Linked DNA regions of Caenorhabditis elegans. The protein of the gene in region 1 interacts with the protein of each later gene in a pairwise test. Each region holds a gene or a part of one and is shown in the gene's direction. Other genes may lie near its edges. The genes, in order: lim-7, ceh-27, hpl-1 and lsy-2.

The links.
Region 2: the proteins of lim-7 (region 1) and ceh-27 interact in a two-hybrid assay, tested with the Caenorhabditis elegans proteins (one large-scale study listed by BioGRID).
Region 3: the proteins of lim-7 (region 1) and hpl-1 interact in a two-hybrid assay, tested with the Caenorhabditis elegans proteins (one large-scale study listed by BioGRID).
Region 4: the proteins of lim-7 (region 1) and lsy-2 interact in a two-hybrid assay, tested with the Caenorhabditis elegans proteins (one large-scale study listed by BioGRID).

What each region holds. Positions count from the first base shown.
Region 1 is NC_003279.8:5,713,222-5,721,023, forward strand, and holds the start of lim-7 (LIM/homeobox protein lim-7), read left to right. Parts: upstream 1-3,352; 5' UTR 3,353-3,454; coding exon 3,455-3,590; intron 3,591-5,303; coding exon 5,304-5,351; intron 5,352-5,397; coding exon 5,398-5,462; intron 5,463-6,151; exon of another isoform or gene 6,152-6,301; intron 6,302-6,690; coding exon 6,691-6,776; intron 6,777-7,651; coding exon 7,652-7,799; intron 7,800-7,802. UniProt on the Caenorhabditis elegans protein: Probable DNA-binding transcriptional activator.
Region 2 is NC_003283.11:11,659,656-11,668,119, reverse strand, and holds ceh-27 (Homeobox domain-containing protein), read left to right. Parts: upstream 1-3,017; 5' UTR 3,018-3,053; exon of another isoform or gene 3,054-3,186; intron 3,187-3,421; 5' UTR 3,422-3,422; coding exon 3,423-3,580; intron 3,581-3,884; coding exon 3,885-3,952; intron 3,953-5,388; coding exon 5,389-5,585; intron 5,586-5,655; coding exon 5,656-5,913; intron 5,914-6,233; coding exon 6,234-6,344; 3' UTR 6,345-6,571; downstream 6,572-8,464. Other genes in the region: F46F3.3 (Attacin_C domain-containing protein), read right to left, coding at 1-92, 554-605.
Region 3 is NC_003284.9:13,242,787-13,249,439, forward strand, and holds hpl-1 (Chromobox protein homolog hpl-1), read left to right. Parts: upstream 1-2,603; 5' UTR 2,604-2,641; coding exon 2,642-2,734; intron 2,735-2,809; coding exon 2,810-2,893; intron 2,894-2,946; coding exon 2,947-3,036; intron 3,037-3,088; coding exon 3,089-3,291; intron 3,292-3,964; coding exon 3,965-4,049; 3' UTR 4,050-4,258; downstream 4,259-6,653. Other genes in the region: K08H2.7 (uncharacterized protein), read right to left, coding at 4,912-5,018, 5,083-5,146, 5,389-5,532, 5,581-5,640. UniProt on the Caenorhabditis elegans protein: Seems to be involved in transcriptional silencing in heterochromatin-like complexes. Involved in epigenetic repression. Probably does not act as global transcriptional repressor. Plays a role in linking epigenetic regulation with the innate immune response.
Region 4 is NC_003284.9:2,085,913-2,094,768, forward strand, and holds lsy-2 (Zinc finger protein lsy-2), read left to right. Parts: upstream 1-3,791; 5' UTR 3,792-3,887; coding exon 3,888-3,914; intron 3,915-4,092; coding exon 4,093-4,233; intron 4,234-4,284; coding exon 4,285-4,390; intron 4,391-4,442; coding exon 4,443-4,599; intron 4,600-5,014; coding exon 5,015-5,098; intron 5,099-5,149; coding exon 5,150-5,245; intron 5,246-5,304; coding exon 5,305-5,481; intron 5,482-6,350; coding exon 6,351-6,459; intron 6,460-6,560; coding exon 6,561-6,656; intron 6,657-6,712; coding exon 6,713-6,817; 3' UTR 6,818-7,341; downstream 7,342-8,856. Other genes in the region: F49H12.2 (uncharacterized protein), read left to right, coding at 318-416, 465-537, 587-818; col-164 (Nematode cuticle collagen N-terminal domain-containing protein), read left to right, coding at 7,577-7,805, 7,858-8,573, 8,624-8,856. UniProt on the Caenorhabditis elegans protein: Involved in transcriptional regulation. Required to specify left-right asymmetry of the ASE gustatory neurons, probably acting upstream of microRNA lsy-6.

The sequences.
Region 1 (7,802 bases):
GAAACTTCGTGAGCCAAACACACACCTTCTTTCGAAATGCTTTTAATGAGCAATGCAACTCATTTATTTTCATTACCAGGTAAGCATTTGATTTGGTTCGATGAACATTGTGAATTGCCGTATTGCATGGAATATTTCTTTTGTTTTCAGTAAGTTAATGTGCATTTTGTTGGAAAAATTGTAAATTGTATAATTTTTGAATCTAATTTTTTCTAAAAGGCCTGTAAACCCTCCTCATAGTTGTGATTTGTTATTTGTATCAACCATATTTCAAACCTTCAAAACATGATCACAACTCAAGAAAATCCACCTTCTTGGCATTTTGTTTTCACAACTTATTAGTTTGTATGCTATTCACATGAAATTGAATGAATAGATTTCATTGTCAAACGTGAAGATTACCCGGAAAAAAGATTAAAAATCAAAAAGTGAGAAACAGATAATGAGGTTGGCTGATCCCTCTCCGTCAAGGATTAAGAAATCAGTTGTACTTCGTGGCCACCCCCTGATTTCTTTTCACATTTTATGAGCTCATCATACTACAATTCAAGCTACTTTTTTCCTTTAAGAATTTCCTTCGACCGTTTTTACCCAACTGAAATTATTGAATATAACTGTTGAACGATTACATAAGTTTTTCTGTTTATTTCAAGCGCTCACCAGTTTTCAAAAATAAAAGTTGCATGACTTCATTATTTTCAAATTTTGGCGCAGAAAACAGTTTAAAAAATCTCTAATTTTCAATTCAAATCACACTAAAAACGTTTTGTTTTCTTTAATACATTTTCCATAATATTATTTAGTTGAACTTAAACACGTTCCTTACAGTTTGTATGAATGCACACTCACACCTCGACACTGAAATATATCATATTGTTTCCCCATCTGTCAGGTGTCTAGAATTCCAAAATACTTGGATGTATCCCACTGAGAATATTGTGTAGATGTTTGAAGTGTTAACAGGAGGCTAACATCAAAATGTCATTGATATGTTCAGATTTAGAACAATCATGGGAACGAAATTGAGAAACTTATATAGCTAAAATGACGAAATATCATAGAAATTTTTTTCGAAAATTGTTTTAAATTCTTTAATTTCAATCAAAAAGTGGCAATTATTCAGTTTTCATAGTTTTGGAAGTCGATCAAAAAAGTTTCTTCACGAGTTTTATTTCTTGATTTCATTTATCTGTTTGTATTTGAATATTGAAGGCTTTCAAACCTGCAGCAATGCTTCCGAAAACCTCCGAGTTTTTCGAATTTTTTATAACTTGCCAAAACTTTGACTGAAAATTGTGAAAAATATGAAACCTTTTAGATGTAGACATTAAGTTTTTTTTACCATTTTAAATGCATTTTGACAAAATCGTCACAGGCGCTACTAAACCTTTAATTAAGATCAACTCCCTATCCATCGAGAAAACTCGAAAACCTTCTCGAGTCTGCCACGTGTCTTCTAATTCCTACCCGATGTGCTCACTTCCTGTCGGGACCTTTTGAGTTGTAAAATAGTGAGAGAGAAGATGACCACGCGTAGAATCAATATTTAGGTGAGACTGTGCGTGATCTGAACAGGAAATCATTGACTTTTGGAGAATAACGTTTTTTTCTTCAATATGCATATATCTTTTTTGTAAGTCATAGTTATCGGTTTTCTCTTTTTTTTTTAGCGAAAATTGATTTCTAGCTTTTCTCGAAGTGTTCAAAAAACTGCAAAACTTACTTTCGTACAAAATGTAGAAATTTTCGAGATTAAAAAATTTAAATTACAAAATTTTGTATTTCGGTCTTTCTATTTCTTCGTGTTTTGGAAAAATATTTTTTTAAATGGAATACGATAAACTATGAAATATAACTTGTAAAGTTTGTTTTCTCTTACACCACAATAGTTGAAAAATGGCTGTAAATTTTTCACATTTCTCCCCGGTTCTAAAAATTTTCCAATATTCTGGATTAATCCAGCATCCATTTAATCATCTTATCTTTCAAATCCTTATCAATCGATGGAATCTACAGTATCCTCGAATACTTGTCCGTTATCACCTTCTCTCGCATGCATGTTCATCTTTTCATTCGTTATTTCACACCTTTTGAGGTATACAGGAAGTGGGGGAATCAGTTAAAACATACATATGTCCACGTGTCGGCTAATTTAAGAGTGCAACTCTATAGAAACTGCAAATTCACTTTTCGTACAATTTTTTTGACTAAAAGAATGAAGAGTTTGCAATACTAACGAAGAAGTGCAATACTATTAGGGACGCAAGACTAATTGGGACTTCAAGTCTATATTTCAATCGATATGAACTCTAAGAGAGACTCAAAAATAAAATAAAATAAAACATATTTCTAGTTTCTAGATAGTTTTCAATAAGGAAAATATGGCGTCCACCAGCCAAAGGAAGAATGAGGGTCAGGTTGAATCCGGATAAGAAGATATTTCCAGGGATAATCTTGTTGAATTCTCATGTTTTCTGATTTCAATTTTTTTTCTCAATTTTTTAAAATATTCATCAATGAACATAATACTTTAAACCTCTGAGAGAACCAGTCAGTTTCTGATTTAAATATCAGAAAAATGATTGTGTTAAAGATCGAAGCAAACATACCACATTTTTTCAGTATTGCAGCCATTTTTTGGAAAAGTTACATGAATAATTTATAGACTCTGAAGATGTTCTACACTTTGTGAGTTTATTGTCTTAAACTGTAGTACGCGGAGATATTAGTATGGAAGCTAAAGGAAACTAGAAAAACATTTGAAAATGTACGAGAAAATTTGACTAAAATATAGGATGGATTTTGAACTCTAAAATCTAGGGTTATGAAATTTAAACGTCCTAAGCGATTTGTAATTTAATTTTGAAACTTTAATTGTGAAACTAAAGTGAGGTCAAATTTCTCACATTACTTTCCTTAATTCTTAATTTTTTCAGGAGCAGACAATTTTGTTCAAAAATTTCGAAATTTTCTAAATGTTTAAATATAATTTTTTGCTCATTACTTCAATCTTGATGAGTAATTTCATAGAATATATTTTGCCAGTAACATTTAACTGTCTCAAAAATTTTTTTGGCATTTGAAATGTCATTTTTTAAACTTTTTCATGATCCAAATAGTTCACACAAAACTGCTTTAATCCAATTAATTACAAATAAAAGAAATATAGGTTACCATATCCACAAAATCAGGATGTTCACACTCTTATTCTATCACTTGGGTGTTCACATCCGGCTGGTTTTCTTCTCACTTCTTTCGTTCTCCTCACTTAGTAGGTGGAGTCTACCAACCAGTCGCTCGTCGTCCGCCCGCTCAATGACTCCGCCCACTTTCTTGTCTCTCCGTGGGTCCCAGGGCTCTCGGTTCTCTTTTCGTTTGTGACACTTCCAACTGTCCTATCTGTGTTTGTGTGTATCTAGTAATCAATCACAAACTTCTATATCTGTTCAACGGCATGAACATCTGTATGCGAAATGGTTATGAGCAATTCTCACTGACATCTCCAGGAACATCGGATCTCGAAATTGGTGGATCATTTTGGAAAGACGAACCGGATACCAAGTACTTGTGCCTTGATTCTCCTGTTGAACGTGAGTGTTTTTTTTTTAATTTGAAAATGTTAAGCGTGGGCCAAAATATTTCAAAGAATTTACATCCGGAAAAAATTTTTTTGTAAATTTTCTGAAAATCACAGCTTAAAAAATTCAAAACAAAAGTTAAGTTAGATTCATAAAATTTCCATTTGAAAAGACATCTAACAGATCTAAGAATACAACACCTTCTCTCAAACTCCACTTAATCTTGAAAAATAAATCTTAAAATGTCAAAATCCCTGCAATAACAAAATCGAAAGAAGGAGAGGGAGAAAATCTGGAAAAAAAGATTATTCGCACTTCTAAGCCTTAAATATCCGTCTATTTTCCCCTGAATTTTGCAACTTTTTTATCTGAAGCTCTGGTGCTCTTCCGATTCTTTTCCCATACTACTTATAGGGATGAGCCAATGAATAAATGAGCAAAGTTCCGAAAGGTGTCTGAACTTAATGGGCTCACTTCCAAAAAATTTTGAAGTCATATAACATTACTAAATTTCTTGGTAGAAAAAACCCATTTGAGCTACACATTTTTCCATGACACCTTGCTTATTCACCAGTTTGGCAAACAAAAGAATCGGGGGGTCTCACACAAAAATATATTTTGTTGATTAAACGATATGATGGGGGTGGGGAACAAATGGGAGGCTCCATCAAAAAGCTCTTAGTTCAATCAAGTTCTGAAAGTTTAAAAGAAAACAAAAATCGCTATTTCTTTCATTCCATTTGTCCCCCTCCTCTTTTACTTTTTTCTTTTCCACCTTCTTCTTGTTGTCTTAAAAACGCATAACTTCATCTGGTCCTTCGATGAAGATCTAAGCTATAATCGCCTTATGCACATCACATGTACATATCCGGTTTGAAGATTTCAACAACCCAACCAGATTTTCTCGATTTTCTTGGCCTCGAAAACTTAACCTAGAAAGTTTTCAAATAAATATATGATATTAATAAAAATTAACTTTTCACAGTTTTGTATTCCGAAAGTTTTTAAAACCTAATTTTCTTCAAAAAAAGTTTTTCTCTAGGTCAATTTTCAATTCTAATTTCAAATCGCAACACTCTCCTCCCAAATAAGTAGTTATTTGCCGCCGCTCCGATTATGATTACTGTAGTGGTGGGGTGTTTATAATTGCTTATATTAAGTAAACTTTCCTTCTTTTTTTGGGATTGTTACTTCTTGTTTGTCAACGGCCAGTTTACTTCCTAAAATAAGATGTCAAATGTTGAACAAGGGGATTATCAATAGTTTGAAATGACTACCTTTAGTTGTTATAGTTTTAAAATTAGAACATTTTAATATGTTATTTTTTAAACAGTAGGAAGCTGTCGACTTTAAATTCTTCCGAATAAAAACGGAGCTCAATAAAATTAATGACGTGGCAAAACAGTGCTGACAGAAGAGGGCAAAAATAAAATAAAAAACGTTTTGGCAGCTACTAACATCCCCAAACACCCCACAAATGAGCTATTTTATGAGTTTTGTTAGGCTCTCCCTGCCTTTCTTCACTTTTTTCTTGAAGCCATGAACCCCTTCATGACACCTAACTGGGTATCATTATCCATTTGTGCGCGTGGCCCTCCCCTCTTTCTATTACTTTTCCCTAAATAAAGCTTGAGCTCCCCTCCTCTCACAAACCCTGTAATCTTCAAATCAAAGTCGACGGGTAATTTGGGTTAGAGTAAAGTTAATCGAGCTTTCATTTTTCAGAACGTCAGCACCAACCACCGATGGCAGTTTGTGCCGGCTGTCGATTGGGTAAGCTCTTTCGGGGACTAAATTCCAAAAAATTATTTATTTTCAGAAATATCAGATCGGTACTTCCTCAGGGTCAATCCCAATCTGGAATTTCACGCTCAATGTCTAAAAGTGAGTTTTTGAACATTTTTATAACTGAAAAATGGTTTATAAGTATCTCGTCTCACTTTGAAGGATTTTATCTCAGTTTGTTTTGAATATATCAAAAATAATAAAAATACACAACCTTTTCGATAGAACAAACAACAACCGAGATACTAATTGAGTGCAGTGTAGTCTCATGGTTTTTTTTCTAAACAACAATTTCGAAAATTACACGGGGGTGGATTTTCACAAGAAAACCTAATTCATTCCAAATGATCTCATTCAAAAATGTATTGCACAATGAGCCCCTCCAACTGTCTTAATACCTTAAAGCTACAAAAGTCCAGTAAAGAGAGAATTTACACGCATGACTTGACACATTGTTTGTTCTTTTATTCAACATTTTGATGTATGTTTCTATATGTATGTAGGATTTCCATTTTGCATATTATTCAGAATTCCAACCTTTTCCCCTTTTCTCTTTTCTGCTCCTTTTGAATTATTCACCAATTTGATACCTTTATTCCGGGTCATTGTACTTTTTGCTCTTGCCCCACGACTTTTAAGCAAAGGACAAAAAGTGAATATTATACAAAAAAGGGAAGGGGGAGGAGAAAGGGCAATGATGATGAAATGAAATGAGACAAAGACGGAAAAAAAGAAAAGAAAAAAATCAAAACGTGTTGACCAGGAAGCATAAAAAGGGGGAGAAGCACGGAAGAGACGGATCAAATTACTGCGCAAATTCGCGCATTTTGTTGATTTTTTGAGTGTGAAGATTGGTGTATACAACTCACTGGGACAGAGGGACCCTTGCGTGACCAGTCAAGGTGGCAACCATCTGTCGTGTTGGAATAGGCGATGAATACCTAAACAGTAGTAGAATAGATCACGCTATTCAGTTAACTATTTACCTGTTTACCGCATAGTAACCCAGTTGTGGAATTTTGACATTGTCAACTCTCACCACGAACAAAAACTTGTCAAATGAAGGCTTCGCAAAAAGATGTGATCCTTTGAAAACTAAAAAAAACTGTAGCGGATTCCCCCTAATTTTGAACATTTCTTCGATTTTTCCAAAAATGTTTTCTCTAAAAATAATTATCTTGTTGAAAAACGAAGGATGCGAGACCGTACTAAAAATACCCTTAAAATATTTTTGCAACTGTAATATAACAAAATATAATGTTTTATGAATAAAATTTTCAGGCAGGATTTTAATACAAACCCGTTTAATTAAAATTTAAAATTTCAGTGTGTCCAATGCTCTCGCCCACTCGACGAAAACCAGACAGCATTCGTGAAAAATGGACAAACGTATTGCCGGGATGATTACAGAAGGTAGGTCAAATGATGGCAGATGTGCATCTTTTTGTGTAGTTACTTCCATAAACGATCATGAAGAGTCAAAGTGAAATAGACAATTACCTTACTTCCGCCGGAAAACGGAGCATACACCTGTCTCTCTTTCGCTTACTTCCCCGAGTACAATGACTTTGGGAAGACAGGGAATGGGGTGTTGACTCACTTACTATTATAAATAATAATAATAATAAGTTTGGAAAATGTTGCGCTCTTTTAATGGATGCATTTGCATAATAGAGACCCCCGGATAACTTGGGAGAATGAAGCGTGAAAACTATCCAACATTTTTATATGGGGATTATGATTACTGTATTTGACTATAGATGTGAATTACGCATGGGATTAGGTAGTGTGCAAGAATATGTAACCAAATTTTGAAGTGAGTGTCAAGTGTTTCATTCTCCGAGTTACTGTCATATTTGCACAGATTTTCTTACCAAGTTGGTAAGACAGGCCTACAGCGAATTTGTCAATATTTTTTAACGTTTGAAATTTCAAAAATAGACAGTGATTTTTTAAAAGTATTTTTTAAAATAAATTTCAAAAATAGCGAAACATACTTGACTTGATAGCAAGCATATCTACAGCCAAAAGCTAATAGGATCCGGTAAAATTGCTAGCTTTGCACTAATAACAGGGTGACCACGCTAATTTGCCGCCGAAATCAACCGGAAGCGTTCACGTAATCACTATAAAAACGGCACCGCCTGGAGCATCTTCCTTCCTCTTCTAAAGCTCGCCGCCATCTGGCGTCTGAAGGTGTGAAAACGTGAAAACAACCGAAAAGGGGAGAAACGGAAATTGTGACATATATACAAACATACAGTGCTCTTTTCATATATTTATTTCAGGTTATTTACAACACGTTGCTCTCGATGCCATGGAGATTTTGACAAAACTGATCTCGTGATGAGGGCTGGACCCCAAAATGTGTTCCATCTCAACTGCTTTGCGTGTGTTGCCTGTGAAAAACGATTACAAACTGGAGAAGAGTTTCAGGTG
Region 2 (8,464 bases), on another chromosome or scaffold:
ATATTCTCGTGGGATAAATTTATCCATCCACTCATTATCAACCATTTTCATTAAGCTTTCGTTTGTTGTTTCACTTTCTGAGGATCGGGATTCTGGAGATTTAAATTCTTGTTTTGAAATTGAAAATGTACTGATTTCAAAAAACACATACAGTTTTTCAAGGGGGTTACCAAAAACAACGGCTTTAAATTTATTTTTCAAACCTGAATATAGTCGAAGTTAGCAAAGTTAACGCTAACAAGACTAACAGGTAATTTCATGTCTATAGCTCTACGATTTCGACCACGTTTTTTTCATGAATTAAAAAAATAAATTTTTATGTATTCTGGAAAACTTTCAAAAATTGTCTTGTAACAGTGACAATTAGCTCTAAATATACTCAAAAATACAGTATTTCTTAGTGACATAATGAAAATGTTTGAAAGTTTGAAAACATTTCAGTCAACTTTTAGGCAAAACTATGATATTTAGTTGTTCTAGAACCGCGAGGATTTATTTTTAACATTTTCGCTTGGTGATCAGGGCAGCATTAAATAAAAACGTTTAAAGTTACCAATGACGCTTGAAATTGCCAAAATTGAGAACGCAGAAATAATAATACGCATGCTTAATTCGTGAAATGTGATAATGATTCTTGTGATATGATAGCCAAAAGGATAAGTCACTGGATGATGGCCTCATTTCATTCCAGTTTCTCTTATGTTTTATCATTGTTCGATATGAACCTTGAACTAAACTGAACTGTCAATGAAAACCGGATTATGAGATACTTCAACTGAACTAGTGAAACCAGGTATTCTCAAGAATTGAAAAGATGCTTCAACGATTTAAATGACAAAACACTTAGTTCCAGAAAGTGTGAAAATGTGCAAACCCCCGAAAAAGGAAACGACAAAAAACTCGCCGCAATCTCTGTTTACTCAATGTTTTCTCACTTCCGTGAAATGAATTGTATATTACATATTTTCTCACAATATCGGTATTCGAACCCGAAAAGAATACAGATGTCTTTCTTCCTTCCTGTTGCTCGGGACAGGTGCATGCCATCTTCTTTATTCTCTCAATAATGGAATTAGTGTTTTGTCGGGAAAAGGAGGTAGAAGGAAAGGGAAATGGCAGAAAAGTGACAACTGGAGAGAAAAGGATTTGTGAAATATGAACGGGCGACGAAAACCGTGGAAACGTTATGGAAAACTCAACACTTTTTTTTTGGTTTTCCTGATGTGGCACATAGTGTTCATAAATTCTCGAGTCTCTTGTTTTCAATCATCTTGAAGTGGATTTAGCAGGGTACTTTTTCTATTTAATTTATTTCAGTACACTAAGTTTTTTATATTCTGATGTCAGATTTCGCTTGATTCAAAATCATTTCTCAATTATATCATCTAGATTTTCCCACTTTGCGTTAAAGCCTTTTGCAACTCATTGTAATTACAAAGCAAAACAAAAGTGAAAATATATTAACACTCATTTTTATGAACATCAAGAAAATTTGTTTGTAGCCTGTAATTGAATTTGGAAAATAAAAACTTTGAATCAAAACGAATCTCTCTCACTAGTTTAAACTTGAACTATTTTAAGTTAATTTTAATAGAGAACTACATCTGATTAAACGAGAGTTTTTAATGGAAAGTTGGTTCGGTGAAAAATGAGAAAGTAACACTAATACTCTCACGCTCTATTGATTGTTGGCTCACTGTTATCAGTGTGATCAACTTCGTTGACTTAGCAAACTTTTTTTTTCTCATGGTAAAAAAAGAAGGTCGTTAAACTCATTAACATTTGGATTGTCCACTAATGATTGAGAGTTTTGAACTCTCTCCCAAGTGTAAAAGTTCAAACTGGATGTAGGAAGGCAAAGTGCAAGGTAGTAAAAAGAAAACAACTATTTACCGATTGAAAGAATCTTACTGAAAATATATTAATTTTACAACTAAACAGTTGATAAGGCAAAGTATCAAAGTACATTTTAAAAAAGCTGTTACGTGAACAAAGGTTTTTTCTCTTTTTATAAAAAAAACTAGGTATATCAAAACAGTAGAAACGGGAGGAAAATTTTCAAATTCCACACTTCGGAATGACTGAAGTCCAGTAAAAATATATATGCCCGTGTTAAGAAACTTTTTGCAAATCTCAATGTTTTAGGCGTTCATTTTTCCATTCCCTCAATAAACATTATTTGGAAACTTAAAATGTAAACTGCATCTTCAGTGTATTTACAGCAATATGACACAGTTCCTCGCCATTGAGAAATTATCAGTCTATTATAAAATTTTTTTATTGATTTTTTTCAGAATTAGGTTTCAATATGGCATACAACATTCAATACGACGTTAGTATATCTCAATATCTCCAAAAAAAATAATGAAGTAGAAAAAACTCATACAATTTTCAATGAGACATAGACATATACAACCTTAAATTTAAGATATTATCACAAACATACAATTAAATGACGACGCCGATGGTCTCACCTTATGGTGCAGTTTTATCTGAAAAGAAATTGAATTTTGCGAAGGATTGAGCTGTTTGTCCTTACGGTTTCTATTCAAGTTATTTCGCTGCCCCTTTGGTCTTTTTTTAGTCTGTTATTCTGTTGGCAACATAATTTACCAAAAAGAACAACACTCTCCAACACTAGTCAGAATTAGGATAACTGAATAATTTGCCAACTTAGGTACTTGTGGAGAAATCACATGACTTGAAGTTTTTTTCTTGCTAGCTGAGTTTATTTGGGAGTCTAGAACTCGAGATTTTCAAGTAAAGAAATTAGGCTTCTCCTACGCATTCTCAATTTCATTTATAATTTTCAGCTGGTAGCACTTGATTAAAATGGGCAATTAGGTTTCAAGTATTTCTTCTCTTTTTTTTCGGTTTCCATACCTCTTCCCCTCCGATACCTCGATTCTGTTTGCCCCAGTCTCCGCCCATGGCATCCAATGAGGTTGGTGGGCGTGTCTATCGGGTGGGACAAGCAGGGCGAGAGGCTGGACTGAAGGCGCACGGGAGACACGCACACGGTGAACGATCCTCCACAAGCACTCATATAAGAGGTAAATGAGCTCTAAGAGATTCTCTCGGTTTACTTGAAGGGCCACTTTGGCCGTCCTCTCCATGACTTTTCAAGTTTTTAACTTAAGTGAGTTTTGAGTAGTTTTCGGGACGGACGCCACTTCCATCCTCCCCTTCACACCCCATCCTTCACATTTAGCGCCCCAATCGAGGCACTGGAGCAGCAGTTTCAATTCTCTGTTTCCAAAAAATAATGATAGAATCTAGAAACCTATACCATATTACCTCAAACTCTAACTTGAAAAGTCATGGTGAGTCTTCTATTCATTCCTTTTATTTTCTTTGTATTCTAATATGACATTAACTTTAGAATCCCAGTTTCTCGCCTTTAACTACAATTAATTTGTAGAATGTCTTCTGGATCATCCAATTCCTCCACATCAGCCCCTAATTCTGTCACACCAACTACTGATGCTTTCTCAACTCTCTCCATCTCAGCACCGGCTACAACTGCAGCACAAATGTCTTATTTTGCCTTCCCTAATCAATATCCACATGATTTCTCAAGGTATGCTTTTAATTTGAGGTAAATTCTGGATGTATGATGATGGATTATATGTCCCCCAGATGTGGAATTATTCAACATCAATGGTTTCTAGCAAATATAATTTATTTCGATTTAGAATACAAAAAAGTTCAAAAAAATCCAATTAATTAGTTAATTCACGAATAATTTTAGCAAACCTGAATATTTCTTCAGCTACAACACAAGTGCGGCCTACGCCACCGCTCCTGAATACAAAAAAGTTCAAAAAAATCCAATTAATTAGTTAATTCACGAATAATTTTAGCAAACCTGAATATTTCTTCAGCTACAACACAAGTGCGGCCTACGCCACCGCTCCTTACCCAATGGCAACGCATCCTCAACTGGCCAATTGTGAGTTTTTTTCTTCAAATTCATCTTCTCGACTTTTCTCACTTTCCCGTTCGCAAATAATTACAGTCCGGTCAATTCAATTGAGTTGCGCGCTTCGCATTTTTCGCAACAATTATTTTATGTCTAGATTCTTTGGTTTATTATTTAGATTATTATATAACACATACATATATAAAACAAGCGTGCGCGATATAATTGACATATACCCGAGCTACAGTAGGTCTGGTCTATGAGTAAAAAAGGTTCCCACACTAGCTTTTTCCTTTCTCTTAGATCTTTTTTCGCTTCTTCCTGCAAAACATATAATCCCTTTCTGCCGGTGGTGCTAAATGTTTGTCTTTCCAACGAAACTCGTCCTACAGTACCTCCCCTTGGTTGCCACAACATTGGAAATGAACAAGTTTGCCAACTCAACTAACTACGTCTGTCCCTTATTTTCCTTTGTTGGACAACAAACAACTAACACCATATTGAGAGGTGATAGTAGGGGTTCAATGAAGTTGCGTCGGAAGTGACGTAACATCAGTAATCTACAACACCTACTTGAAACCGTGAGAGAATTGCTTCCAAAACTTAAAGGCATGAAGGTCGTGGTACTGTAGACGTGAACATGTGACAAAACTAGTTGGTGGAACTTTTAATTGTTGGAAGGTCAATGGCGGAAATCATAAAAAGGAAATCTGCAAAAAATGTGAACTCCGAATTGAAAAATTGCAGTAAGGGTCCAAATCAGATATCATATTTTCTGATAAGTATTTTAGAATGCCAAAAATTTATTTTCTATTATATCTCTACTTAAAATAATTTACATTGTCATTCTATTGAACAGCTTTGACATCTCATATCTGGGTGGTTTTTTGTTTTATCACAAAATTATCAACTTACAGTAAATGTCATTTTTCATATATAGTTTCGTACTTAGTTATTTTTTATAGCTTTAAAAACGAGATTTAAGTTGTCAAAGCGGAGCAATTAAGTACAATTCTGACAAAAAAAATACAGTAGTTGATACCGTATCAGTTTTTAGCTTTAAACCAAGTTCACTGCTGAAAACTTTTTCAAAACTTCCAATTTGATCTGAATTTTTATCTTTAAATGTACAGGACAACCTAGATTCAGTTGCTGGCAGCTTGTCTGCCAATTCTCAGCAATTTGTTTAGTACGCCACGGGGAGTCTCTCTCGAATACTCAATTGTCTGGTAAACGGACCATATTTGTAGAAGAGTTTGCTGTGGTGCCATTTTTGTATCGTAGTTAAGACAAGTGTTAGCATACATTGACACGTGCACGCATGTGTATTTTTCTTATTGTTTTTATAAGGGACTACGGAAATTGTCGATTTCCTGAGACTTCCGTTGAAGGGCAAATTATCGCGGATCTTATTGCCATGATCCTATTGTATTTAGTAGGCATAAAACAATCACTATTTATTGCAGTTAATCGCTTCCAAACCAATCAGCTGAATTTGGGACTTACGACACAGCAGAATATGATGATATCACGAAGAAAGCGACGTGTTCTCTTCTCACCTCAACAAGTTCACGTCCTGGAACGCAAATTCCAAATCAACAGATATTTGAGCGCCGCGGATCGGGAAAACCTTGCGAAGAGTATTAACTTGTCGGCAACACAGGTTTGAACTTTTAATTTAAGCTAATCATTTGCGATGTTTCTTGTTAGTTTCTCACATTTGCCGTATTCAGGTGAAAATCTGGTTCCAAAATCAACGCTACAAGTGCAAGAGACAAGAAAAAGAGAAGAAAATGGATGGTGGATGCTATCGGGATAGTGACAGGGACACTGATTCAGACAGAGACAATGATAGTAGTGGATCACTTGGAAGTTCGATGTCTGGAATCAAGAAGGAAGAAGATGAAGATCGGAAACCATTCATGCCATCAGCAGTTTCATCTGATACAGCTTGTCTTCCGGATATCTCACAACAAGCATTCCCATATCAGGTTCGTATTTTAGATTTGTTGAGACTTTCAAATCACAAAATCGTGTTACAAATAAGATTTTGTGACGGTAATCCAATAGGATTAACATAGGGAATCGGATCACACACTTGTGACTATCTCTCTATTCTAATTCAATTTGTTCCGTTATGATGTGGTCTCATCACCTGGAAACAGATGCAGATGCACAAATGATTTTTGAAGGACCCACTTCTGACTGCAGCTGTCATTTTCCACTTTTGAATCACAGGCTTATGAACTGTGCAGTTGTTTTTTATATGGCTATCGTTAGATGACAATGTTCAACTATGTTTTTTTTCCAGATGTACCCTTCGAGTTCATATATGCCTCCGTTCTTCGCATACCAAGCACCTCCTGCAAACTATCCTCCGTCTACATACAATTTATCGACATCAGCATTTCATAACCTTTAGCTGACATTCAACTATGCTCAATTTTTTTTTTAATTTTCTCAATTTCAATCTAAAAATCTCGTGACTCTTCTGTTCTCTTTCCTTCCCCAATCCTCAATGAGCTTCTCATTTTTTTATTCCAAAAATTGAAAAATCCCAACACTAAACTGGTATGTATTTATATGCGTTGTTGCTATATTTTTGATATTATATAATCTTGCACAATAAAAATAATTTTAAATTTAAAACTTTGTTTCATTGATTTCAGAAATAGATGTCGCTTTTACCGTAATCATAATGACAGACGACGTGCCATTCTCTTCCTATTCATTGGGATGAATGGTGATGAACATGAAGAGGCGCACGCATGTTGTATAGAAAAGAAAATGCGTAGTATATTGTTTTGTAGAAAACTGAATGGAGGTACTTGAACAAGACGTCGACATCCAAAAAAAGGAAGAAGGAAAAGAAGGAAATGAAGATGTCAGACAGCAATAGTGACGCGATGAATCATCCACCAAAAATTAGGAAGATTTTCAGAAAACATGTTTTCAGATGTTTTTAGGTGGTGTTCACATTGTTGCACAAGCTGTGTACTTCTCGTGATAACTGCTTGAGATCATATAGAAACGATTTTTAGTAAATTACTTTTGAAGCAAAATTAGCATTACAGTTGAAATAATTTAATTTGCAATTGGAAAAATAATCGATAACATTCTATTTCATAATTTATTCCATGTTTTTCCAATTTTTCCAATTTGCAGTTCTTAAAAGGCAAACTTTTTTTAAAACTGACTTTTAAAATGTATACTTTTTTCCAATATTGTACATATTCCAAAATGAAATCGCTTTTTTATTTTTCTTGTAAAATTATACACCATCCAGCTTTAATCCTGTTTTTGTAGCAGAAATCCCATTTTTCAAGTTCATGTCTTCAACTGACACCTTTGGTATGCACAGCCGGATAATCTACAGCTTGATGACAGACAGACACGTGTTGCGTCACCACCTGCACACATACAAAGCTCCCAGAAGAAAGGTGTGAAAAGAAAGAGAGAGGAAGAACACCGTGACTTTTTATCCCTAGTTTGGCTCTATAATTAAACGATTTGCGAGTTATTACGTAAAAGGATATGCCGACGGGAAGATGAACCAACCAATTAGGGTCATCACATGTTACCGTAATATGCATAACAAAAAGGTGTCAAAGAAAATTTATATGGGCATTGTTGAAAAGAGCAGAATTCAGGTAGCATTCTTTTTAGAAGTAAATTAGTTGTCCACTTTTCATTTTCATTTTGACAACCGTATCTTTGGTAACAGATAAAATTTTCAGCTCCATTTTTAAGATCGATAGTTTCTAGCAAACAGATTGGTAAAATATTTTAAAATTTCGAGTGTAATAGATACTGCTAGCAAGTTCGTGAAAATCAAATATCATGTCCAAAATACCGTATTTCATCTTGTGAAAACTTTGACTAATTCTATAAACCTATTCAAAGTTTGTGGATGTCCTAAAGGAAGTTATGAGCACATTGAAAAATTGCACTGGTGTCCCTGTCGGTACCAGGAGTCTCTATTTGCTCTTTGTGGACATACTTGTGCGTGACTCTGCCGTACCGTAACCCATTCTCACATTTTCACACTATTCCTCCACACCTCTGTAAATGGTGACGGACCTCAGTCAAGTGCTTTTCTTTTTCTTTTCAGGATGAAGAGTGTTCGCTATCGCCCGATGACCAACACTTAACCAAATTTAACAAACTCTACTCATGAACGTAGTCGGTTGTCTCTAAGAACTTCTGGGGACCATTTAGAAAATCACAGGCAATTAGAACAGGAAGAGAATCACATATTGCCAGACGGTTATGTTATTCTCTTCCATTATATTTTCATTTGTGTGATAAGTGCACGGCGGCATTTGTAAAAGGCATAGCGTTTAATAGACAAAGTGTGCCGTAGTGACCTCCGTTCATTATATAGGTTACAAGATAAAAAACAAAAAAGGAGAGAGCACTCAATCAGAAGTGGGGATGAGCACCCGCCGAAACACATTAACCACTGTCGGTCAATATGTGTTTATTGTAAGTGAGCTCCTTTTATGATCAAAGAAATGTAGAGAGGATTGGATTTCTAATTCA
Region 3 (6,653 bases), on another chromosome or scaffold:
TTTTGAAAATTGAGCTACACGGCTGGAACTTTGGAACTATGGGTAATCAAGTATGAGCTTTCAGATTTTCAGATTTTCACTTGACAATATAGGTCACGACCCAAATTATTTTGAAAGGTGAGCTACACGGCTGTAACTTTGGAGCTATGGGTAATCGAATATGAGCTTTCCGATTTTCAGATTTTTACTTGATTTTATAGGTCACGACCCAAATTATTTTGAAAGGTGAGCTACACGGCTGTAACTTTGGAACTATGGGTAATCAAGTATGAGCTTTCAGATTTTCACATTTTCACTTGATTATATAGGTCATGACCCAAATTATTTTGAAAATTGAGCTACACGGCTGTAACTTTGGAACTATGGGTAATCAAGTATGAGCTTTCAGATTTTCACATTTTCACTTGACAATATAGGTCACGACCCAAATTATTTTGAAAGGTGAGCTACACGGCTGTAACTTTGGAGCTATGGGTAATCAAGTATGAGCTTTCAGATTTTCACATTTTCACTTGACAATATAGGTCACGACCCAAATTATTTTGAAAGGTGAGCTACACGGCTGTAACTTTGGAGCTGTGGGTGATCGAGTATGAGCTTTCAGATTTTCACGTTTTCATTCAATTATATAGGTCACGACCCAAATTATTTAGAAAATTGAGCTACACGGCTGTAACTTTGGAGCCATGGGTAATCAAGTATGAGCTTTCAGATTTTCAGATTTTTACTTGATTCTATAGGTCACGACCCAAATTATTTTGAAAATTGAGCTACACGGCTGTAACTTTGGAGCTATGGGTAATCGAATATGAGCTTTCCGATTTTCACATTCTTACTTTATTATATAGGTCACGACCCAAATTATTTTGAGAATTAAGCTATATGGATTTAACTTTGAAGCTATGGGTAATCAAGTATGAGCTTTCAGATTTTCACATTCTTACTTTATTATATAGGTCACGACCCAAATTATTTTGAAAATTGAGCTACACGGCTGTAACTTTGGAACTATGGGTAATCATGTATGAGCTTTCAGATTTTCACATTTTCACTTGACAATATAGGTCACGACCCAAATTATTTTGAAAGGTGAGCTACACGGCTGTAACTTTGGAACTATGGGTAATCAAGTATGAGCTTTCAGATTTTCACATTTTCACTTGACAATATAGGTCACGACCCAAATTATTTTGAAAGGTGAGCTACACGGCTGTAACTTTGGAGCCATGGGTAATCAAGTATGAGCTTTCAGATTTTCAGATTTTTACTTGATTTTATAGGTCACGACCCAAATTATTTTGAAAATTGAGCTACACGGCTGTAACTTTGGAGCTATGGGTAATCGAATATGAGCTTTCCGATTTTCACATTCTTACTTTATTATATAGGTCACGACCCAAATTATTTTGAGAATTAAGCTATATGGATTTAACTTTGAAGCTATGGGTAATCAAGTATGAGCTTTCAGATTTTCAGATTTTCACTTGATTATATAGGTCATGACCCAAATTATTTTGAGAATTAAGCTATATGGATTTAACTTTGAAGCTATGGGTAATTGAGTATGAGCTTTCAGATTTTCAGATTTTCACTTGATTATATAGGTCATGACCCAAATTATTTTGAGAATTAAGCTATATGGATTTAACTTTGAAGCTATGGGTAATTGAGTACGAGCTTTCAGATTTTCACGTTTTCATTCAATTATATAGGTCACGACCCAAATTATTTTGCATCTTGAGCCGTATGGGTCTATCTTTGAAGTTAAGGGTAATTGAATTTGACTTTTCACATTTTCACACTTTCACGGTAATAAATAGGCCACGAATTAATTTAGCTTGTAAATCAAGCTATAAGTCTTCAACTTTGGGGATACGGCTCATTAAGTGTGAGCTATCAGATTTTCACGTTTTCAAGTGGTTAAATATGTCAGTAACTTATTTATGTATTTTGGAACATGGGCTAAAGGTTTGTAATTTTCGAAACAAGGGCAATCGCAGATGAGCTTCCAGATTCTCACGTTTTTTTAGATGATTTTTTTCTTCTCAAACCCCTCTCTTCTCAAAGTTTGTATCCATATGTTTCTTAATGAAACATTTTATCTACAAATGTTCGCAGTTTATGATCGTTGTTGTATTGATTGTTGTATGATTTCCAGGAAAATTGCACGAAAGTCAATTCAAATGTTACTTTTTAGCCTGTTTCATTAAGAATCTGCGCACAATTAAAAAAAGTGACTGTGAAAACTTCAGATGGTCTGGTTTTTTTTGAAATAATAGAAAAATATAGAAGAAAATCAACTTTGAGTTTCAAATACAAATTATTTTAGAAAATGGAACAGTGACCGTGAAAGAGTGCAAATTCGACTTCCGGCATCTCTTTAAATACAAGAGAGGCTAAGCAAGATGAAATAAAAAAATTTGTTTTTGTCGACAGTGGCCGCCGACATAGGTTTGCACCTTTTCACGGTCACTCTTCCATTTTCAAATCGAAAGACTTGTTGAAAACCCGGGCCTATGTCTCCCGCTTTTTTCCGTGCGCTGTACGCGTTTAGTCTGCAGTGCGGCACACTCTCTCACTCTCGTCTCCTCTTGTTTTTTTTCCACTATCGATTTTTGGTTTCAGGTGGTTTTTCGCCAAAATGTCACGTCAAAACCCTGTCCGAAGCACTCGCGGGAATTCACTCAGAGCTCGGGAAGCTCAGCAGGCACAAGATGCTCCGTTGTTTCAGGAAGTGAGTTTTTTTTAAATTTAAAATCGAGAAAAAATTGAAGGATCGGCAATATTAATGTGAAAAATATATTTCTAGTCCTCCAGCAACGTCTTCGTGGTGGAAAAAGTGTTGAATAAACGGTTGACGCGTGGCGGAAGCGAGTACTATATAAAATGGCAGGTTCGTACATTTTCGTCCTTAAAATGTTATTTGAACAATAATTTGTGCTTCAGGGATTCCCAGAGTCCGAGTGCAGTTGGGAGCCAATTGAGAACCTCCAGTGCGATAGGATGATTCAGGAATACGAGAAGGAAGCGGCAAAGGTGAGATTTTTCAAATTTATTGAGATGAAAATACATAGTAACAAAATTGCAGCGCACAACACGCAAACGTCGATATTCCCCACAACCGTCGACTTCGTCTTCTGCAGAGCTCCAACCATCTACCAGCGATGAATGGGCTGGGAAAACACTGAAGACAATTATTGGAATCACCAAGGCACCCGGAGAACTGCATTTCTTGTGCAAGTTCAGCGACGACTCTGTGCATTTGATTCCATTGAGAGAAGCCAATGTTCGGTAAATATTATCGTTTATAAAAATTTTAGTTTTTCCCTCTAAAATTAGCGACAAAAAATAATTCGGATTTGAAAGAGTCTGAAAAAGATTTAGAATGTTACAAAATTGAAAAATATGGTGAAAGTCGAAAGCTTAATATTCCTGCAAGCCTGGATTTTTCATGTTTATTAAATTTTTGTTTTTTTCTGGTATTTGACAGAAAATAAACAGGGCAATACTATAAGTTTAAAGCAAATCAAAAAATCTAAAAATGCTCACAATCGACTCTTTAACGTACTGTTAAAGTATATAAATGCATCCTAAAATTCATGAAGCTCTGCGGAACGAGCAAATTCGGCCTTCAATACGTGCTAGCAGAACAGCCAAAAATAATAGGTTATTTTTATAAATGGAAAATATGAAACCTCGAATTTCATGATGTAGTTAACATCTAAGAAAGTGCTTCTCGTACACTTAAAAGGCATTAGAAAAACTTGCCTTGAACGTAGTGTGATACTGTAATAAGTTGAGTCAAGATAAAACATTTGTCACGGCAAAGTAACTCGCCCCAAAGAACCTAAGTTGGCGCTATTCACAAGTCGCAAGGGATTTCTTGCAATATTCAAAACTTTTTAAAATATCGCTACTGCAAAGTCATCAAAAATATTAGTTTTCAATAAAGTGTGATTTTCAGTTTTCCAAGTCAAGTCATCAAATTCTACGAAACCCGTCTTGTTCTTCAAGGAGTTTCGCCAACCATCCCAGGAGGAATGAGCTAATTTAATTTCAAAAATTATATCGCACCCTCTCCCCTTCCCATAATTTGATTGTTCTCTCAGTACGTTTCGTGAATTTTCTCGCTGAGATTTCGTTGATGAAGGACTTACTCTTTGTTCGCTTCCCATTTTTCTTAACAAATTTTTGAACTTTTTATATTAAATTTTTTCACATCATTTTGTTTTTTCCTTTAATAAATTATTTAAATATTTGCTTTAGAAACAATCCTTTACCAGATAAACGAAAACGCACATTCTTCTGATTTTATGTTACCGTATCAGAAAAGAAAGATGTAGTTTCTATCTTCTCATCACGTGCTGGGATGCAAAAATGTGACAGGTTGATACATTAATACCGAAATAGTCAATAATGACCACGCTACAACGTGTTTTACAACGAAAGTATTTCTTTAAGAATTTTGTTCAGTTTTTAACAACTCATAATTTTGCTTCTAAAACAAACCTTTCTGATAATCTGACGTTGTCTTGTAAATTGGCTAGTTGTCTGAAAGCGCAACATTTCCTGAAAAGTTTAAATTGTTTATTAGAACCGTTTGATCATATAATTATTAGAGCACATTAAAAATATAAACACAGTTCTTTGTCCGTTTGAAAAAAAAATTTTGTTTGAATTGACTTATCAGATTTTTCACATTTTTAAAAAACTGATTTTATGAAGCCTAAATTTTGCAAACCTGTTTTTGTCAGAACAGTTCATTTTTGTTTTATGAAGGTTTTTATGAAAGCTCATCCTTAATTATTCGTATGATGAATATTTAAATTGTATTTTCAATTGACGTGATTGATTTTACTCGATTTCATTTGACAAACATTTAAAGAAAAACTTTATTTCGTACCACGAATGTCATAAAATTTGGTTCCTACAAATAGTTATCAACATCACTGCGAAAAACGTGAGCCGTGTTGCTGTATCAATACTTTTAACCACTGGCAAGAAAGAGACCTGGTCACCTGAAACATATTGAACTGTAGTCTTTGCTACTTCTTATCAGAAATGTTGCGTTTTAAAACCCACTGCATTGACATAAAATGCCGGTCGGTGTGAAATTCGAAGGAGTTATTCGAACCAAGTTAAACCCCTGAAATAATGATGTTTCGTCATCATTTCTTACTTCAAGTCTCACTTTGGTTTTCACTCTTCGCTGCCATTAAAGTAATTTTTTTAAATTTTTTATTAATATTTATTGTATTTTTCCAATTATCAATGTTGTGTTACATTATTTTTGCAAGCAAAAACTAAGAAATCCGAATCACCCAATCTAATTTTGTATTTCTTTTGCTAAGTTGCATTTTAATTAGAAATAAATTTATCATAACTCACCACAAAAGCCCCTTGCACAATGTCACATGGCTCTGACTGATTCCCGACTCCAGCTGTGATTGTTTTATTCTCCAATCTAGACCACCAATTCCACTTCGAAGAGCAATTTTCTCTATTCAAACCTAACAGCATACTATGCTCTTGCTGTAATATGTGACTTATTTAAATTCACCGTTAACTTGAGACACTCACCGTGCGAATTCCGTATTGTATGTAAGAACCCAAAAGATCGACATTCGATAATACTGCCATTTGACAGGAAGATGCTAGAGAACAAGTATCTATTTATCGACGTAGATAATCTTTTGTACAAAGTCAGTTCAAGGACAAGAATCAATGAACACGGAGTTTTTTTCAAACAATTTTCATGCAATAAAACCATTCCCTGATTTATATACATTTACTTCTGGGATTAATTTCTTGAACCAAATAGAAAAATTTGACATATAAGCTAGACTCAGAAATCAAACGTCAAGCTGAAAAATCTAAAAGTTCAAGAGCTCAACGTTTCTAATCTCATTTTTCACAATTACAAATTTTTAGTTACTTCCCCCTAATCCAATTTTCAAGTTTCAACACTCACGATGCAGCTTGCTAAACAAAAGTTCGCATCTTTCTGGGATTGTGTAGTTCCCCGAAGTATCCTGAACTCCCGCGTACATAGAGCACAACTGGTCAGCATAAAAGGTATTGACTCCGTCAGTTTCTCCAAATTGTTTGCACACCTTAATCAGTGGCTTTTTGATTTTTTTTTTAAAGATTTGACCAGATTTTTTTTTATTTTCTGAGTGTTTTTAGGGAATTTTTGAATAGGTAATTAGTTTTACTTTTAAACATTTTATGATTCAGTCAGTTTCTCTTATTATTAGCTATTCTTCGGATCTTATAAAATCTATTATTGAAATTTCAAGCTCTATAAAATCAGCAATATTTGATAACACAATTCCCAATACCTGGCACAACGTATTATTTCCCGTACAATTGAAGCAGCTGCTAATTTGAAAGAATATTGATAAAATATGCAACACTAAGAAACTCGGCATCTTCATTGCAGATCTGAATGCTAAAATGCGGCTCAGGTCGAACTTCGATGAAAATATATAATTTAGTTTCAGCGTTACTCGGGCAACCAAATATTTTCCTCGCTATTCTAGGGAAACTCGATTATTCCTCCACGCATCATGCTCCAAAAGGTTGTTTCCTGTCCCCCACGTGTTTCTAGTAAATCTACAGAACGTGTGTAGTTTGTTGCAATTGAAGCAGGG
Region 4 (8,856 bases), on another chromosome or scaffold:
ACGTCATTTTTGACATGTTTTCAGACTAACTTGCCGATTTTAGATAAATTTTGAACTTTCCGCAATTTACTTTCACGGAAAAATGTTTAAAAATTGACAAAAAATGTTTCTAATCAAATATTATGGAAAAATCAAAGAGAACCAATGGTTTTAGCCAGAAAACACGAAAAAAATCATTTGAAGCTTAAAATTGCTCTTTATCTATGTAAGATAAACCTAATGAAACTGAATGCTGATTTTAAAAAAAATGTAGTTCAATTTTTCCAGTCACAAAGTACAAACCCTCTTGCCCTACAACTTATATATTTCAATTTTAGATGTGGTAGACGCCGAGCCAACAAAAAAACCGAAAGTCGTTTGGCCTGGAGAATTTGAAAACCAATTAAGGAAGCGAAACCGAAATCTGGAGAAAATTGGTGGGTGAAAGGTCATAAAAGAAAAAGAACCCAATGTATTTTTTGCAGATGAAAGAGAGAATAATAGACTTGAAACACCAGCAATACATACTCCTTCGGACACTCAAAGCCTGATTTCTAAGTATCTTACTGTAATAATTTAAACTCAAAATCAAGACTAAAAGTTTCAGTGAAGAGGATGCACACTCAACTTCTGATTTGAAACCAGAGACACCGCCAGATGACAAAGTACATAAAGTGGAAAAGAAAGAGCCACCTCCAAAGAAATCATCAAACATTACTCCCATATCCATTAGTGACACTCATTTTATGGATGAGTTTCTAGAGCCGCCTAAAAAGTTGAATCCGACTTCTTCAGGGGGTTCTTTTTTCTTAGTTTCTAGCAATCTGGTTGTTGAATAATTTACTGGTAATTTCTGAAAAATCGCATGACTTTATATTACGACATGTATAGTTTTCATAATGTAACTTGTAAAAGACTTGTTTTCTTCTTTATTGCTTATATTTTCCAAAATAATTTTTTTGCGTAATTTAAGTACTTGTATTTATAATTCTTTGCTAAAAAAATAAATATGTATTATGAAAAACTGCAGAACTGTGAAAATTTAGAAACTATAATTTTTCTGAGGAAATTTATACCTTGGAAATAATATTTCAAACAATGAAATGTATTCTGGCTTTCAAAGCAAACTAAAATGAATAAAAAAAATTATGTAAGCCTTGGAAATCTGAATAATATATTTGAAATATTTTAATATGAAAATTGTAAAAAAGTGTGCATAGATTAGTAACAGTTTTTTTCTGAACATTGCTTTAAAAAATTGATATTAAAGGCTATAAAAATTTAATGGAGAAGTACCGGTTTGGACGATTTTGAACATATAGACCCAAAATGTGCTTAAATAAACGAATTTTTTAATGAAACGACTCAAAATTGTTTCAAAAGTTTTTTATGGCGGTTCAAAATTTCCAAAAATACCTTAATCAACAAAACAACATAAGGTAAATTACCAAAATTTGCAAAAAAAATGACAATAATTAAAACAAATCTACTTTGAATCACTGCGGCACGGAAAAGTAAAAAAAAAGTTGGATAATTTTTTTCGAAATTTTGAACCGTCATATAAAATTTTGTAGATTAAAAAAAAATTTAATTACAAAATTCGATCATTTAAGCACATATTCAATTTATACGTTAAAAGGCGTCCAAACCGTTACTCATCCCTAACTATGTTTATCGAACCGACTTCCCTAGGTTGAGAGATTTAGTCTCATCGTTCCACACGCACCAGGTAACTGAAAATAACATGCACTTTTAGGAAGCTAGAGCCAGGATGTCTTAATCCTTTTCGTTTTCCCCATTTGTCTCGATCCAATATAACGAAGCGGTTAAGTTCTCAAAACTTCAAAAATCTGTCGAATGAAGCAAGTGTGAGCTGCTTTTTTTCAAATAAAAGTATTGCCCTACAAATGTTAGAGGGCTCAGAACGGAAACTAGCTGGCTGTTCAGCAGATGTTCGTCAAGATGGCACCCTTCATGGTAAAAGTATCTTTCACGTTTTTTTTTCTTCGCCGAGTATCTGAGTAGAGGGAGTTTCTCAACTTGTGCTCGTTTCTCTTAATCTAATTTCCCAGAACAACTTGGCGATTGTACTTCTTTTCTGAGACGTCGAACAAGTTTTCACACTCTTGTTAGAACACTTCACTTTGAAGGAATCTTACTATAAACTTTAGGTATCCTTAAAATTTTGATACTAATTGTAAAGACTAATTTTTCGAGTTTCTGGCTTAATATATTATTTTTGAAAAAAAAACGTTTTGTTTTATTTTAGTTCACCAAAACTCCCCTTCTCAAGATTTTTCAATTAGAATTGTGAAACTTATGAACATAAACTGAACAAGACACAAATTTCTCCTCAGGTTTAAAAAAACATTTGGAAAAAATTTGTTATTTTTGGTAAATTAATTTATATAACACTACTTATTGGTATTTTTATAAATAGTATAAATGCTGATAGGTTTCACAAAATGTCAATCTTTATTTGTTTTGTTGTGTTTGTTAACAAACTTGCTTTGTAGTCAATAAATTATCAATAAATATATAAATCTTATTAAATTTAATCTAAAGCTTTAAAATTCAAGAGATCTCTAACTTTTTAATTTTGTATTAAACTACTATTAACCGTTTTCACACTTTTTTTTCGAAATTAATATACACTTATTTTATTTATTTTTCAATTTCATTAACCCGAAAACATTTAATTTTATAATTCAGAATGATGAATTTACACCATCCGCAGCACCAGTCCAATTTCCATGAACAACACACGCCGTTTGCTGCTCCGATTCCAAATGGACACCACAACAACCACGTCTGCCTCCACAACAACAACAACAACAACAACTCCCAATATACTTGGAGTTACACGGTGAGCCAGCGTGGATGCGTGCGAGCAGCAGGCAAGATGCACATCTGCTCTTCGTCTGGGGCTTACGGCGTTGCACGAATATCGAATAGTGTTCATAGCGAATAGATGCGATTTTCTGAGTCCTGATCGATTTTCATTCAAATTTCCAATTTCAAATTTCAAGGTTTTATTTTTTCATTTAACTTTTTTCAATTTGCCAAAATCGTTGAAGTCTTTTGCTGGGTTTTGTTCAGTTCCAAAAGCAGCTGTGACAATATTATACATGTCTTTTATGTTAGGAAAAATATTATTGATCATGTATAATTTGATTGACTTTTACTATTCCAAGCACTAACTTCTATTTATAATTAAATCTTAATTTTACTTTCAATAAAACATTTCTGATGCAAATTATTTTTAAGACTTGCCATAGCCCAAAAATTAGCAACCAATTTCTCAATTCTCGGCCACCTGAGATTATGAAAACGCATCTGCTTATTTTTGCACCTGTTTTGTGTTTTCGACCAAACCATGACTAAAACTAAAATAATTTTTTTCATAAAATTGTATTTTATTTAGAAAAAAAAGACAATTTTAAAAATTCCGAAAAATTGCAATGAAAATGTTTTAATTTGCACTTTATAATTTTGAAAAAAAAATTGTAAAAAATGACGATTATTACGAAATAATATAAAAATACAGTTTAATTTTTTATATCTAATTTTCTAAACACTCGCAATACACAAAAAACTCATTATTTTCTAAATTCTACACTTGCTGAGTTATCAGAAACGATGTAAAAACCACGAACAGCAAGCGACGGTGGTGACCTCTGTCCTCTCGCTCACTATCCTTGTTGTTTGTTGCGCGCCTGCGTCTCGTTTTCTCGTTGCGCTGCGGCCGCGTCGCGTCCCCTCCGAGTGGTCGCATTTCTTACCGTATCGTTCTCATACCATAACCCTTTCTGCACTTGGCGGCAAGGTGAATAGTTTGAATTCGACGCTTCTTTCGCAATATCTAGCAGTCTCGAGCTGTTTTTAAGCTGTCTGAGGCAAATTTTGTCATGCTAACCAGAAGAAATGCTAAGCAGGTAACTAGATATCATTTCAAAAAAAATTTCTAAAATTTTTTGAAATCTCTTGAAACCCATGTTTTCATTTTTATTTCGCTTCTGTACTTTAACCTTTCCTTTTATAAACTCCTTTCAAATTTCAATTTATCGAATCTTTTATAAATTCCCTACTTTTTTAGACGTTCTCTACTTTCAGAGTCAACGGAATTCTGCGGATCAGTCCCTCTCTGAATTCAACAGTTCCAGTATGACTCACGGGTCGAATCAGTCAGTTTATCACCACAATCAACACATGGATGACTCCGAAATGATGATGGATGAGCAGGATTATTCTCAGGTACTCAAAAAAATTCTGAAACCATTTCAGGGGCATCATAATCAATTTCAGTATCAAATGGGGTTTCCTGAAGAAGATGAGATGGTGGAAGGAATGATGACCCCTCGAGCTGTGCACCAGTGTAATGTTTGCAACAAAATATTTGTTTCCTATAAAGGTAATTTTTTGAAAAATACGGTAGCTTTGTCTAACTCTGATTTTGTTTTCAGGTCTCCAGCAGCATGCAGTGATACACACAGATCAGAAGCCTTTCCGATGTGATATTTGTTCAAAATCATTTAGGTTTAAGTCGAACTTGTTTGAGCATCGTTCAGTCCATACCGGCTTCACTCCTCACGCCTGTCCATATTGTGGAAAAACTTGTCGGTTAGTGGTTTTTTTAAACAACATTCGCTGTGCTCTTTCAAATGTACAGTAATAAAAATGTGGCGGGTTGCGAAAACGACCGTTTCCCCTTAATTCTCATTCTCTCACAGTCGACTCTCCTCTGCTAATGCGCAGTACGGTGTGTACAGTGTACGGGCCGAGAAACGGTAGAGAAAAAGAGACGGACGAGAGACACCGTAATGCCATAGGCGACACTGTAGAACAATCGATAAAACGAAGAGAAATAGTGTTAGAATGGTGAAAAAGGCGTAGATAAGATGCATGCCGTACTCATTTCAAAACGGCACTCGTGACAGTAATCTAAATGTTGCGGGTAGAAAACACAAAAATATAATCAACAAAAATTATTTAGGCGATACGAGAAATAACAAACAAATTTTTTAAATTTTTTCAGACTGAAAGGCAACCTCAAGAAGCATCTTCGCACACACGTCACGACGAAGGAAGAGCTGGAAGCTGCCTGGAGGCCGTTTGCCAGGTTTGATCTTAACAAAAACGGAACGCCAGTATTGGCAAAATCTCGGTTCAGCAACCGTCGGCCGCCTGCTGACATCCCTGACGACGCCATCGTACTTCGTGGAGCCGGAGGACCGTACTACACGCCGCCGCCTCGTCCGAAGAAGAAGTAAGCAGACATCCAGCATGCACAATTAAAATGTGAGATTACCGAATGTTTTTTTTCAGGAAGCTTGGACTCGGAGAACCAGAGCACTGGGTGGACAAGTTGAGAAGAGGAGATCTTCTGCCACAAGTTGAGCTTGAGGACAAGATCAGACGTCTCGAAGACACTATCTTCAACAACATGTCTCTTGAGCGTTGGGGCAACCTTTTCGAGATTGCAAAGTCCATTGCATTCGAGACGTGAGTTTATTTATCCTTGAACTGAAAAGAAATCGGAGTGGAAAATGCCGTTTGAGCACATGAATTCTCAGAATTACGGTACATATTATATACATACCTGCTCTCCGTGCGTTTGAGAAAGATTTGACATCAATTCAAATTTTTTGCAACAGTTTCGCTACGAAATTTCGTCAAATTTTGATTGAATTATTATCTTAAAAGAGAGCGTACTTTATAATTTGTTTTAAAATGGCTGGAAGATTGTTGAAAGCATAGAAAGCATCAAAAAGTGAATGTAGGACTGAAAGTGAGTATAAGTATAATATCTGAAAAGCGCTCGGTGTGCGGCAAATTTGCCGAATTTGCCGAATTCATCGAATTCCGTAAATTTCAAAAATGTAGACTTGCCGAATCTGCCGAGCCCGGCAAATACTGAAATTTGCCGCACACATGAAACAATTTTTATAAAAATTTTGTACAAAACTAATGGTTTTGAACAGAAACCTAATGAAAGTAAACATAACATCGTGTTTCTTTTATTTTTTATTGAAGAAATCCACACGCGCATTAGGCAAAATTCGAACAAAAACCAGTAAACGTAGTTTATTTTTTAAATCAATTTTGGCCCTCTTTGAGCTCGAAAAATATTGCGATTTACTGAGTATGACAACCATGGCAAATTTGCCGAATTTGCCGCACACCCATGGTGCGATTCATTTCCTAATATATGCCTGGGTTTGTATACTTATTGAATTTTTTTGAACCAACTGAGTTGTAAGCTCCCAAAATCGAGCAGTGCATTACTAATAGAACTAATAGAACTATTATAATAGAAGAGAACACATTACACAGTTTAAATTAAAATTTTCATTAAACCTACCTAATTTCAGCCATGATTGTCCAGTGTGCAAGTCTCAATTCATGACCAGAATGGATTGTGTCAGCCATCACACACTCGAACACGAAAATCATCGGGAGGGTCTTGAATTTTTCTGCGAAGTGAGTTCTATAACGTTGTAATTTGAGTGGTTTTCTGTCTGTGGGATGATTGAAAATTTGTTATTATTGTTGGATTTACGATACAATATATATTTTTTCAGAAATGCTATAGACCATTTGCTGACGAGGCCAGCTACAATCAGCACATGAGCTACCACACGCGAGTTAGCAGTTTGATTGAAACTGGAGAAATTGTTGTACGTTTACAAAAGTTAATATTTGAACAAATAACTAAAGCTCACTTTTTTTTCAGCCTCAGCCAGCAGATCCGGAAATTTTGGTACCAACGAATGACGAGTTTCAAATGCTGTTTGGCGCAAACTTTGGCCAGCAGATGATGGAACCACAGTTGATTTGAAATTGATTATTATTATTGTTGCTTAGATAGAGTAATTCAGCTTGCGCACTTACCCATTTTTGACGCCTTCGATGACATTTCTTTCAACTTCTCTTATTCACCTTTTTCAAAACGGGGTACTTTTTTCTTCTTGTTTTTTTGGTTCTTTTCTTACCTCGGGGATTAGTATTTTTTGAAGATTTCCTACCCATTGACAGACAGACTTGCTCTTTCAATCATTTTTTTTTCCAAAATTGTAAGCATGCCGTTTATCATTGTTGGCATTGATCTACACCAGCGATATCTTGCTCCTTATTTCCATTTGTAATCCGTTGTTTTTTATTATTATAACCTAATGTATAACCTATTGAGGAGTTTGTATAGTCGTTGTAGTAGTCTTTGTTTGTTTTACCTTTTTTTCCCGTTGCCTGATTTCGTCTATTTTTATATATTCTTCTCTTTTGAGCCGATTGTATAGGTGTTCGATTAATATGAAGTGTCATAATTCAATTTATGGAGTGAATAATAAAATTTTGATACGTTTGAAACAAAATGGAATGAATAGCCTGGTATCCAGAATATGCAAATGCAAAAACTTGTTGAAGCGGTAGCAAGGATCAGATAATACAAATGAAAGTGGTTTGAAGTGAAGATTGGGAAGGAGTAGGACAACTTCCGGAACATACCGATCAGAGTTTTAGATAACACATGTTGTATATAAGACGGTAGTGGGGTACAACATTCATCAACCAAGTTTTTCTCCATTGTTTGTTTCGAGCAATGAGTTACAAAACTATGGAGTCGTCTTCGTCGACTGTCTCATTTGCAGTCATTCTTTCTGGAAGTGCTTTCTTGATTATGGTAACTGCTACTCCTGTCCTTTTCTATACTATGGGAGACATGACTGCTCAACTGGAAACTGCAAAAACTGGTTTTGAAGAGACTTCGAATGTGCTCTGGAAGGAGCTTGTTACGAATGAAAGCCACCGCAGAGTTGCAAGACAAACATGTAAGTGCAGATGTTAACGTTATCTGAAAATATTTGACAAATGAAAATTTAGACAAGGAAGGAGGAGCTGCTGGTGAGGGATCTCCTGCCGCTACAGCACCCGAAGCCAGCCCTGTGAAAATTGACGACTCTTGCCCAGCAGGACCAAAGGGTGAATCAGGATCAGCCGGAGAGCCAGGAACCGACGGAACCGATGGAACTCCAGGAAAAGATGGAGCTGATGGAAGCAATGAGCAGACTGCAAGCCAAGCTGGAGATCTTTGCACTGCTTGCCCAGCAGGACCACCAGGTGTTGCTGGATACAAAGGAAAACGTGGACCACGTGGTGAGAAGGGAGATAAAGGAGCTCCAGGAAACGCAGGCCGCGATGGTGCACCAGGAGATGATGGACCAGAAGGAGACCATGGGCATCCAGGACCAATGGGACCAGCAGGAGAGAAAGGAACCAGTGGAGCTGACGGAAAAGGATTTGCTAAAGGAGCACCAGGACCAAAAGGACCGACTGGAATGGATGGTCTTGCAGGAGACGAGGGTCTTCCAGGAGAGCGTGGAGAGGATGGTTCAGCTGGAGCACAGGGAGAGACTGGACCACAAGGACCACAAGGAGAGAAGGGACCAGATGGATTCCCAGGTCTTCCAGGATCCGCCGGAGCTTCTGGAGAAGATGCTGCCTATTGCCCATGCCCATCAAGAAAAGGAGACATCGCTGGAGGAGGAGGTGGCGGATACGCTGCAGCCCCAGGAACTGAATTTGAAGGATCCCCAGTTGTGAGTTTTACTGCAATTCTTGGATTTCAATAAAATAAAAGTACTTTCAGGAATCCGATCCAGCTAAGCTCTCTGCCGATATTCCAGCTCCATCGCCGATTTCCGATGTCTCTGCTGAAGGAGCGGGCGCCCCAGTTAGCGATGCTTCTGGCGAAGGGCCAGCTGATTCCGCAACTGAAGGAGAAGGTGCTCCAGCTGGAGGAGCTCCAAAGGGAGATACCACATATCCAACAAAGAACCGTGCCAGATTTACCGCCCGTCAACGTGCTGTTTCCCGCATTCG